Linked DNA regions of Kluyveromyces lactis. The protein of the gene in region 2 interacts with the protein of the main gene of each other region in a pairwise test. Links are inferred from orthologs where the notes say so. Each region holds a gene or a part of one and is shown on either strand. Other genes may lie near its edges.

The links.
Region 1: the proteins of NAP1 (region 2) and KLLA0_F17006g interact in binary tests that used the Saccharomyces cerevisiae proteins (3 or more experiments, as listed by UniProt). The link is inferred for Kluyveromyces lactis from reciprocal best matches to the Saccharomyces cerevisiae genes NAP1 and RIM11.

Annotation. Positions count from the first base shown.
Region 1 is NC_006042.1:1,559,952-1,564,670, reverse strand, and holds KLLA0_F17006g (serine/threonine protein kinase RIM11), read left to right. Parts: upstream 1-1,564; coding exon 1,565-2,812; downstream 2,813-4,719. Other genes in the region: KLLA0_F17028g (uncharacterized protein), read left to right, coding at 246-764; KLLA0_F16962g (uncharacterized protein), read left to right, coding at 3,481-4,719. UniProt on the Saccharomyces cerevisiae protein: Serine/threonine protein kinase that is thought to function in regulating kinetochore activity and entry into meiosis. Could phosphorylate IME1.
Region 2 is NC_006041.1:1,340,613-1,348,027, reverse strand, and holds NAP1 (histone chaperone NAP1), read left to right. Parts: upstream 1-3,531; coding exon 3,532-4,785; downstream 4,786-7,415. Other genes in the region: DUF5427 domain-containing protein MTC1, read right to left, coding at 1-955; ALB1 (Alb1p), read left to right, coding at 1,616-2,098; ribulose-phosphate 3-epimerase RPE1, read right to left, coding at 2,235-2,948; PLN1 (Pln1p), read left to right, coding at 5,647-6,507; KLLA0_E15005g (M20 family metallopeptidase), read left to right, coding at 7,004-7,415. UniProt on the Saccharomyces cerevisiae protein: Acidic protein, which assembles histones into an octamer (in vitro). Involved in the regulation of the localization and the function of the septins during mitosis. Involved in the function of B-type cyclins.

The sequences.
Region 1 (4,719 bases), on a different chromosome or scaffold from region 2:
AGAACCTTAATGCACAGAGTGGAAAGCGATTACGAGAAGCAAGCAGCACAAACCACAGTTGACATATTACTTGCACGACATTTGTGTCTGATAAATGAATTTACAGTAGTGATGAAAAATTTGTGTAAATAATTCACGCGTATATAACACCAGAGGTTGATAAACTCCATCGTTTAGATGACTTCACCAAGAACGAGAAAAGCCATACCCCGACCAGTCGTAACCACCAGCAATACAGACGAAAGATGTTCAAAAAGATTAGAGATAAGATTCATCCAACATACAATCCTGAGGGCATCACGTGGACCAGACGCAAGTCTGGTCCACAAGTGGTAGCCGAAGTACCAGTTGTTGTCGACAAGAAAACTGGACAGAACGGCAAGGCCAAGAGCAAGAGCAAGGATAAAGCTGCCGGTGCACTACCTTGTCATGACAGATACACAGAAGAGCTCGATGTCGAGCTCGTTGTGAAACAGCTCAGTTTGGAAGACGAACTGAAATTGGTACATGATGTAGCGATGGAATCCATCGTTGCGTCTGACATTTCATCACCGTCGTCTTCATCGACAACAACGGCTTCCTCTGACAAAAATGCTAAACACGTGACATCCAAAGCTTCGTCTACCGTTCCGCCCCACAAACAAATTACCGGCAATAACGCCGCCCCATCACGTCGGGTAACAAGTATGTATACAATTTTCAATTTGGAACTTTTTTTCCGACCCCCTTTCCCTATCGGCACCCTTTGCTCCATTTGTCCTTGATCCCTGCCTAGGTGGCCCCTGAGTGGCTTCCCTGCTTGGTTTCCTGGATGTGATCGGACTAACGGAGAAGTACTCACGAACTTCCACTTTTCCCTGGCATCCGGTTCCAGGAAAAACTATACTATTTGAACAAGCAATCTTCTTCCTATTAAGTAATACTACGAAGGGGCAAACTGTTCAGTAGTCTGGCTAGTCAGTTCCTAGATTATTCTGTCAGACAAAACACTTTTCTTGCTTTCTACGCATATACAAGGGAAGGCTCTCAACCCAGTCATGCTTTCAGGCAAAAAAAAAAAAACTATTTCGATTTCTCTCTCCTTCAATTTTCCAGTAAGCTGATTCGATACAATAAATGTCTGGACTAACAAAGCAATTTGCAAGCAGTTTTAGTTTACTCTTTCCGCTTAGTATTTATTGTCTGAATAAAACTTTGAGAAAGACATGAGGACATTGGAAAATTTTTCATTGAGCCAGACAAGAAAGACGATAAAACTGTTGTTTTTAACCTGATTCTCTCCCCCCCGCATAATATTTTGAATCGGTGTGCGCGTGTGTTTGTGAGTGCGTGTGCTGAATATTTTATTTTACTGGTCTTAGAAGACGTTGCGTGTTTGAAGTTTTTGGAAAATTTGGTGAAATTTAAGGTAAAAAAAAAAGAACACCAAGAACAAGACTTCGCATATAACAATTAACACACACAGACAGATCAATCACTTCTTATCTGTTGTGAGAGAGAAAGGATTCAGAGAAAAGTGTGCATGTCAGCATAGTTTTAGTACAATACTCCTTTTTTTTTTTGAATGAAAGTTGGTGAATTGCTCGAAAGTAGCGGTGCCGGTGGTTCAAGATCTATTATTGCATATACTAACGATAAAAACGCTGGTTTTGAGACAGAGATGGATTCCATTTTACCCAGTGATGATTTAAAACAAGGCAGTCTTCATAGTAAGAACAGTCATGGTAATGATGTTAAAATCGTTCCAGATGAAGACGAAGTAATAACCCGAAGGACTGTGGTGAAAGGCCATTCCAACCCCGAGGAGTCAGTTGTTATTTCATGCGGCACACCTGAAATTGTGGGAAATGGTTCGTTTGGTGTCGTTTTCAGAACAAAAGTGAAAGAGACTGGGGAGGATGTTGTCATTAAGAAGGTTCTACAGGATAGACGGTTTAAGAATAGAGAACTGGAGATCATGAAATTGATCAGTCATCCGAATTTGATCGATTTGAAGTACTATTTCCTTGAACAATCGGACCAAGAACTTTATCTAAATTTGATTGTAGATTACATGCCCATGTCTCTTTATCAACGGCTCAAAGAGTTCATTTCCTTGCATCAACCAATGGATCGTTACGAAATCAAGATTTACATGTTCCAATTGTTCAAATCTTTAAACTATTTGCATCAAGTGGTCAATGTCTGCCATAGAGACATCAAACCACAGAATATTTTGGTGGATCCAGATACTTTACTGTTGAAAATCTGTGATTTGGGGTCTGCTAAACAGTTGAAACCAAACGAGCCCAATGTGTCATATATTTGCTCCCGTTACTACAGAGCCCCAGAGTTGATCTTTGGTGCTACCAATTACACAACAAAGATTGATATTTGGTCTGCAGGTTGTGTTATGGCTGAACTGCTATTAGGACAACCCATTTTCCCTGGTGAATCTAAGATCGATCAATTGGTTGAAATTATTAAAGTTTTGGGTACACCAACCAGGGAAGAGATCTGTTCCATGAATGAAAACTACTCCGAACATAAGTTCCCTCAGATCAGACCGATCCCATTGAATAGGATCTTCAAGAAGGAAACACAGGAAACTATAGACTTATTATACCATATCATGAAATATGATCCTAATATCAGATACAGCGCTTTACAATGTATGTTCAATTCGACGTACTTCACTGATATCGTCAGCAACACCGGGTCGGACTCAAACCTTTCGTTGATCGATTCTTTACCATTGCTACATTTTGAGGAAAGTGAATTACAAGGGTTGTCATCTAACGATATATATAGATTGACTGGCAAACTGATATAGAACCGACAAGACAAAAGGAAAACTAAAAACAAAAAAAAAGACTAGTTGAGAGAAGGAAATATGCAAATACAAATGCATTAATGTAACGTTCTACCCAGCACATCCAAAGAAAATGAAATTAATACACGAAATTAATGTGCATACAAATAGTTACTTCTCATATGCCTACTTGTTGCAGGCAACACCGTTGTTCAATGCTATCCTACGCTCCCCCCCTTTGCATATCATATTTCTCTTCAATTTTAAAGTTCATTTCAATGTCTTTCGGAAAACCTATAGTTCTATCCTGTCCCTAATAGTGTTCATATTGGGCAGTGGATTCTTTTTATTTATGTTAAGCATTCCCTATTCCTCACTAGGAAAAGGGCACTTGGACATCATAATTCTTCCTTTTATAGCAATACTTTTCTTTCTAGCTTCCGTCCTACCTTTTTCATACCGGATTTCACCTTGTCAGTTCATAATAATATCAATACTCACCTATTAAGAGCCACATGACGTGCGTGCGATTGAGTACTTAAAAACTACTGTTACCTTTTGTCCATCGTGTAACTTTGCATTTTCTTTGTCACATTTTCCTGTACAAGAACTAACTTGACAAAATTGATTTTCCTTGAAGAGAAGTCGAATTAAAAGTTTAACAGGAATATACTGGGACGGACAAAAAGATGGAAACCAAGACCCTGATACACTCAGGGGCTGCTAAGGAGATGAGCTATACTGAGAGGTATAATGTCGCACCGCTAATACCTTTGCCTGAGTATCTTTTTCATAGATTATTTCAGCTCAACTGCCGTACTGTGTTTGGAGTTGCCAATTATTCAACTGCGAAACTATATCAAGCCATAGCAGCCAGCGGGATACAGTGGATCCAAACGATAAATCAATTGAACACATCATTTGCAGTAGATGCATACGGGAGAGCTATCGGAGTGAGCTGCTACGTCACTAGCGAATCTGCAGAATTAGGCCATGTTAATGGTTTTTTTGGATCATTTTGTGAATATGTTCCCATCTTACAGGTAGTCGTCTTGGAACAGTCTCATGATCTTGAGAGGTTGATTGGAGATGTTTCAATCTTTCATGACGTAGTGGATGATCCTTCTGAGATAGACAGTTGTGTACGAACGCTTTTTTGGGGGAAACGCCCTGTTTATATGGGCCTCCGATCGAAGGATGCCACGAAACTTGTCCCCAGTAGTTCTCTAAACGGAAACATAGCAGATAAGATGGGCATAAAGAACACTTTCTTTCAAACGGACACAATAAAGAGGGTTATAGACAAAATCATTGCCGAAGTTTACGCTTCATCAAGGCCATTGATCGTGGTTGATGCATTAATTGATAGATATAATTACAACAGCACAATACAAAATTTCCTAACGGAAACAGGAATACCATTTGTGACAACCTTAATGTCAAAAGGTTCTATTGACGAAAGCTTACCCAACTTTGTTGGGACTTTCTTAGGTACCATGTCACAGCCCATTGTTCGAGAATATATGAATAATGCAGATTGTACGTTAATTTTAGGATGTATGATCGAAAACTTCAAAAACTCGTACTGTAGATTCAACTACAAGAGTAAAAACCAAATCTTACTTTGGAATGATAGAGTTAAAATTGAAAATAATATAATACCTGATATTTTACTTCATGAACTACTCCCACAGCTAATAGCGTCATTAGATACTACCAAAATAGTAAACTCTCGTCCAGTAACAATACCGAATATGATACCCAGAGTAGAACCGCAACCGGTGACATTTTTGCGACAGGAGTACCTTTGGTTTAAGATGTCTACATGGCTAAAACAAGGTGACGTTATTATTTCTGAATCTGGTACCTCAGCTATTGGTCTCCTACAACAAAAATTCCCAGATAATACTAGGCTAGTATCCCAAGCA
Region 2 (7,415 bases):
CGATCAAAACAGTGTTAGAATCGGCTTCGGATGATCCGTCTTTCCCAGTAACCTCGCAGGCCAGAATGCTGACAAAAAGATCGCTTACTTTACTCACTGGGTTACTGGTTCTTCTCGATTGTTTCTTAGCAGTCTCCCACGTCTTGATTGCATTGTCAAGGTTGGCCAAGCATAATTTTTCACCGTCAACGGCTTTACCTTGGAAAAGGTTCAAGTTAACGTTATCATCCACTTTCCTGCCGTGATCCCATTCATCAGCAAATATTCTTATTCCACCTTGCACCTGTTGCGATAGTAATCTTTCGAATTGGTCTTCCACCTGATACGTAATCGTTTCCTCGTTCAAATTGTGTAAATCATGAACCAAATGAATTCTGATCACTTCATCCGTTTCACCAATGACAATCTTAGTCAATTGTGAAGTAAGCCCAGAAATGACATGAGACCCCTGCAATGCCGTTAATCTGGCCCCTATGTCGTTTATTTTCAAGTTGCCCTCTTGAGTAGCTATCTTCTCTTTCAATTGATTGGCTTGTTCTGTGGTCTTGTTCCAGAAACTGGATACTGTAGCAGAACCGCTAGATGACCACCAATTGGAAATTGACGCCAGTGGGTCCTGAACTGCCTCTTCACCTTCTTCTGCCACATGTTCTTCTTTTCCTTTCTGTTCACTCGGTTTCTCTTTACTGGCTGTCTCTTCTACAGGTTTCTCGTTCGATTCTGGCTTCTCCTCCGGTTTCTCTTTCTCTTGCTTCTTAGAGGATTGTGGCTTGTCCTTTTTGGACGGTTTCTTCTTAATATCCAGGTTACTATTTTCCAATTCGTCTAAGAATTCCATAATATCCTCATCCTGGCCGCCGTTCCCACTAACCTTACCCTTTCCCTTAGTGTTATTAGCAGTACTGGCTGGTAAAGAGTCTAAAAACTCTAGCACATCATCGGCATCACTAGTCATTTGGTGTTTTCTTTTTAAGTCTTTACTGTCGATAAAACTTGAATATTGATACGAATTGTTCAATCAAGAATCGATATATTCAAACTAGAAAATTATCGCTGAAAGGCAAGACAAAACTCCAACGGTTGAACTTAAACTAGCCTCCTAATCCTTGTGAACACAAGTATATAGTTTCTATCCTTTCTCTATTGTCATGGTTCCAACTACCGTGTGTTTTTTTCATGTATTGGTCCATTCTAAGGGTGGGTCGTATTTAAATATCCGGGTAACTATGTCACTTTCATTACCATGAAATAACGCTGGTATACATAAAGTGAGCAGTTAGCCGAAATGTAATGAGCACCGTGGCCTTTATCACCACCTATTCTTACCCCTTCCATAGATGGTGCTCTCCAGTACCAATGTCGGCATGTCTTGGCTTAAATCTTAGCATTTTTCATTAACTAATACCGTATCTATTTTGTACTGCCGTTTCTTTTCTAAAATTTTTCATCTCATCTCATCGCGAATCTGTTGAAAAGTTAATGCATCTCCATACCATGTACTTGATCCCCCGTTACTATTCACCTGTGCTAGCTATCTTGTTACTTGTTACTCTTAGTACTGGCTAGTATTCCTGGAACTACAAGTTAACGGTTAATCACAGTACTAAAATTCGAGATGCCATCTAAGAACTCCATTAACAGGCCAAAGCAAAAGGTTAACTTGAACCGTAAGGTTCATCAACGTGCTGCCAAGAGAGATGCTATGGAAAAGAAGGGTTTATTGGCACCAGCAAGATCTTCAGGAACATCTAAATCTGGTCAGTTGAAGAGTATACCATTGGATCTTTACAAAGGCGAGCATTCGACCTCTGGTGCTCTTACGACCAAGACTCTTTCGAAGAAAAGAGCAAAGAAGATCGAACGTAACTTGAAATACGTGGAACAAAGAAAACTATTAGTTGATCTACAATCTCAAAGTGAGGAAAACGGTGGTATGCAGATTGATGCGCCTGTTGTGAAGAAGGAGAAGGAAACCAAGAAAGGACAATTGGAAAAGATGAGAGAGGCTATTTCCACGGTGTTGGAAGATATTCAATCTCAAGGTTTATCCCTTCAGACAGGTTCTGGTACAACTCTAGGTGGTCAGTATTTCTTGTAGAGAGTCTTAAAAATCGTTAAATGGGGTTTGCATTGTCTATATAAACATTTTGTATACTAGGATAGATCTTAAACGGATCGTTCATTAAATATTATTCTGACATAAAAAAGAGTGCGTATATGTACTTAGGTACTTACTACTTTTCGTATAAACCTTTGGTCACTAATGCATCATTGACCTTGGTTTTCATAAATCCAATGACATCTGCTGGGTCGTGCGCGCGGAACACAGAGGTACCGGCAACAATGACATTGGCACCTGCCTCGGCAGCAAGTTCGACATTCTGTTTACCAAGACCACCATCGACTTGAATGTTCAAATTAGGAAATCTAGTTCTCAAGTCCTTCACTTTGCTCATCATATCGGCCATGAATTTTTGGCCACCGAAACCCGGTTCGACAGTCATTACAAGAGCCATATCCAGGGATGGTGCCAACTCGTACAACACATCCACAGGGGTACCTGGCTTCACAGAACAGGCAGCCTTCATACCATGCTTCTTAATTAGCTTAACCAACGCTACCGGGTCCTTTGTAGCCTCGTAATGGAATGTGAACTGATCGCAACCGATCCTAGCAAAATCTTCGACCCATCTTTCAGGTTCACTAACCATCATATGACAATCGAAGAATGCTCTTGGTAACTTGGTGTCTGGATCGTTGTACTTTCCGATAACTTTACGTAGCGATTCGACAACCGGTTGTCCCAATGACATATTAGGAACGAAGTGACCATCCATAATATCGATGTGTAACCAATCGGCACCAGAGTTAATCACATTGTGACATTCACAACCTAATTTAGTGAAATCACTGGCTAGAATAGATGGGGCAATAATAGCACGAACCATGTTAAAATTGAAACTTATTATAGTTTTGTAAACTGCTGACCTTAAACTCGAACAGGTAATGGTAAATCGTATTCTATAATGAGCAGAGCAGACCGTTAATTGGGTAGTTGGTTCTTGTTTGAAAAGAATTCCCTGCTGCTTTTTCTAATTTTATTGCATTCTTTATAAAACTGAAATTCTGATATCCAAAGAAAGCGACTATTGAGAGAAAGAAGAGGGGATCAGGATTACTTCAGAGTATTTTACAGCTCAAGATTCATTATATAATGTACCGTTGATATCAGGAGTGCTTTATTCCGAGTTTTTTTACCAGGAATTGGTACGATTTAGTCCTTTGAATTGGCATACGGTTGCAGTATTTGCATGCTTCCGTGATCTATTTTAATATGTAAGGAATATATAAGAAGAGCATTTTTTAGCCAGAAAATTTTCTTTCAGTAGGAAACGTAACAGCTTGGAACATCTGATCGTAGAGGTAGTGGGCTATTTGTGATACTTGGAGTGTTGCAGCAGGATATTTGAACTACATTAGCTGTATACATTTGAGTGTATTTGGCAAAATAGTAAGGATCACATCATAAAAATGTCCAACCCTATCAAGACATCGAGGTCGAGTAAGATCGATAATGCACCAACGCCTCATAACACACCAGCTAGCGTGCTTAAGGATTCATATTTAAGGAAGAAGCAACAGCAGCAGTCTGACCAGGATCAAGATCAGGATGACGATAGCGAATACAACGAGAGTCCATCTTTATCCCGGATCAATGAAAAGTTGGAGTTCTTGAACATAGACGAAGAAGATGAGGGTGAAGAAGAAGAAGAAGAGGAAGAGGAAGAAGGCGATGAAGAAGCTTTCGAAAGACTCCCAAAAGCTGTGAACAATAGGATCTTAGCCTTAAAGGCTATTCAGTCCGATTTGTTCGAATTGGAGAAGAATTTCCAGCTTGAAATGTTGGAACTTGAACAAAAATATCTGCAGAAATACAAACCATTACACGAACACCGTTACGAGTTGATCACAGGTGATAAGGAAGCCACTGAAGAAGAAATCAAACGCGGGGGATCTTTGGATGGTGAAGATGAGCATGAAGAAGAAGAGCATGACCAGGAACCGGAGGAAGGTGAGGAAGAGATCGTTGGTGTCCCTTGTTTCTGGTTGACAGCCATGGAGAACTTACCAATGGTTTCTCAAAACGTGACAGAAGCTGACTGTGATGTATTGACATACTTGACGAACATCACTCTAGAGTATCTAACTGAGGGTAAACCAGGCTTCCAATTGATTTTCACCTTCGATAAAGAGAACGAATTCTTCACTAACGAAACTTTAACAAAGACATACTACTACCAGTCCGAATTGGGTTACTCTGGCGACTTCATCTATGACCATGCAGAGGGTGAAACCATTAACTGGGTCGATAATGACCATAACGTTACAGTCGAAGTGAAAAGACGAAAACAAAAGAACAAGACTACTAAACAAATTCGTACCATTGAAAAGCTGACACCAGTGGAATCGTTCTTCAACTTCTTTGACCCACCAAAGTCTCTGGATCCCGAAGAAGAAGACGATCTTGACGAAGAAGAAATCGCTGAACTTGAGAGTAGATTGGCTGTAGATTATGCTATCGGTGAAGAGATCAAGGACAAGTTGATTCCAAGGGCAGTGGATTGGTTCACCGGTGCAGCACTAGAATTAGAATACGGCGATGAACAAGAAGAAGACGACGATGAATTTGACGATCAGGACGGTGAAGAAGAGGAAGAAGAGGACGACTTCGCTAATAAAGATGCTCTGAAGAAAGTCCAACCTCCAGAATGCGAGCAATCCTGAAAGAGATTTTTTTTTTCACATCCACCGATATATAGTAAGCAGTGGTTATCAAAAGTATTTACTCTCTATCTAAACATCACCCTAAGCTGTGGCCTTGCATCAATCTACTCAACGCATGTTCCAGATACGGACGGTGCCTGGCATGCATACAATTTGTGCGCGGTTTTCCACCTGTTCTTATTTTAAGCAGGTGGAAATATATGGCCATAAGGTCTGGACATGCACATCATGTGGTGTCAAAGTCAAACGGAAGTAACGGTCTAACGGTCTGAACCCCTGAAGGCCCCGTTACCAGTAAGAAAAATGGGCTGAAAAGGCACAACTAAGAGCCCTAAAGACAGCAAAAGTGTATAGCAAAAAGAACTACGAGCAGATTACGAATGAAAGTACATAGGGAGCAAGTCTGTTTATTGCTTACTTTTTGGGTAATAGCAAGGAATGGTGACAAGACTACTGGCAAGGCACGAAATAATCCGTGGATCTAGAAACATATCTGATCTACATATTCCTTCCGGATTAACATGGCAATGTTAATCGCAGTTGAAACACCAACTACGTTAGCCCACTGTATCCTTCAGTTTCGTTTTGGTTTCTATCTCTGCCTCTTTTTCTGCATTGAATTCAAATTAAGGAAAACTTGTGATAATGTTTTAGAGACTGACTATAAATAAAAGGCATTGCTTTGAGTTTCAAAGGGATACGAACCTATTACATATAAATATATATTTATATCAGTTTATTAAGTTTGTAGAACTGCAAAGTACTTTTAAAGGCGAAATAGAGTTGTGCAGTTGTTGTAAACCAGGGAAATCTATCGTTTTTATCCATTAGAACCAAATACAGTACAAAGATCCTTTAAAAATGACAGGCCCAGTTAAAAAGCAAAGGTCCCGCTCCTCTTCTTCAGTTAGACTTGTTGTTGATAAACCATCTACTGATAAATTTGCTACACAGTATGCTACTATCAATCATTTGAACAAGTATCCGACGTTGATAAAGTGGCTTAATGCCTTGTTGAGCTTGTCTTTGGTGTCAAATATAATTTCTACCATTTCCCTAATTTTGTTCCAGTTCAGGATCAAAGTCATCGAGTCTCCAAAGACCCCAACGTTCGTGAAAAGATCGTTCAACAGATCAGTTGCCATTGTCAAGAAGTTGGACGAATTCATCAACACCTTGGTGTTCAGAGAAGGTATTGATACGTTCGTTGAAGAATACCATGACCATGGGAAGTTAGGTGTATGGGTGGCATATTTCGTAGTAGACTATACTGCTAATGTGGTGAACTATACAGTGAAAGAATTGATTTTGAGACCCTTGTCTTTAATCAAGGATGAGACGCATCCATCTTCTAGTGGGAAATCTGTTGACTTGCCCCATTTCAAGGAGTTGGGAAACACTACCAAGGATGTATTGGAGCCTACTAAAGAGAAATTTGTTGCCAGGTATGATAATCTGGTGAAGCCAGCTAAGGATGGTTATGAACAAGCCATTTCCACGGCAAAGGAAACATATTCAACTGCCTACAAGACTGTTTCCGATAAATACGACACGAACTTCAAGGAAACTGAATCCGTTCCTAGAGCTATCTTGACTACAGGGTCAGATTTGGGTTCATTGACCATTGAAAAATTGAAGAAGTACAACGGTGTCGGTGATGAGTCAAATACAACTGTCGACACAGAAACCTCCGTCAAAGGTTTGAAAGGTCTCTCTACCTGAAACCAGAAGCAACTTCTGCGTTTGTTTGTGCTTTTTTTTTTTTCACTGCCAAGACCATTCTTAAATGTCATTTATGCAACCAAGTGGTTCCAAGAAGCTAGTTTGTTGCTTTTTCCCTCGGCCTCTATCACTATGTATGGATAATAGATAAGGATACGATGCAAACTATGATATCGACTAAGCAGCAGGAGAAACACCAAGCTTTAAAATATTCAAGAACTCTGTATGGCTGGCTCTGTACGTTATATTTTACAAACTAATCAAGACTATTATATTCTATTATATTATACCCCACGTCCTCTTTTATATAACCCTTTTGGCAATGCAGAACCTTTGAGTTTCGACCAGATATATTTATGTACAGCTAGTATAAATTAAATATCCTTAATGAGGTTTGTGCTATTATTACAGCAAAGAGAGAGAAGACTCAGAATTTGAAGCTTTGACGTTGTAAACGGTATCGTAGAAAGAGCGACTGGTTTTTATCGAGTAAACAATGGGTATTAAGGAGAATCGTGACGTTCATATTTCTAATTTAAGGCTAAAGGCCTTGGCTGTGGTGACAGTTTTGTTGTTTTTATGTGGTTTGCATTTATCCAGATGGTCAAGGACCTTGAAAGATAATCAGACTGCAAGTGAACCATTGTGTCCAAACGCACCAAATTTGAAACCGCCTTCATACATCAATGATAACTCGACCTTGGAAATGATCACACACGATGTCGAATATCGTAGCGATGCCGTTGAGAAACTATTAGGATCCGTTAGAATTCCTACTGAATCGTATGATTCTCATCTAGATCCTATTGAATTTCCTAAGGTATATGAAAACTTCACAGTGTTACATGACTATTTCCGTAAGACGTACCCTGCAGTGCATAAGACTTTGAAACTTGATGAAACTAAAT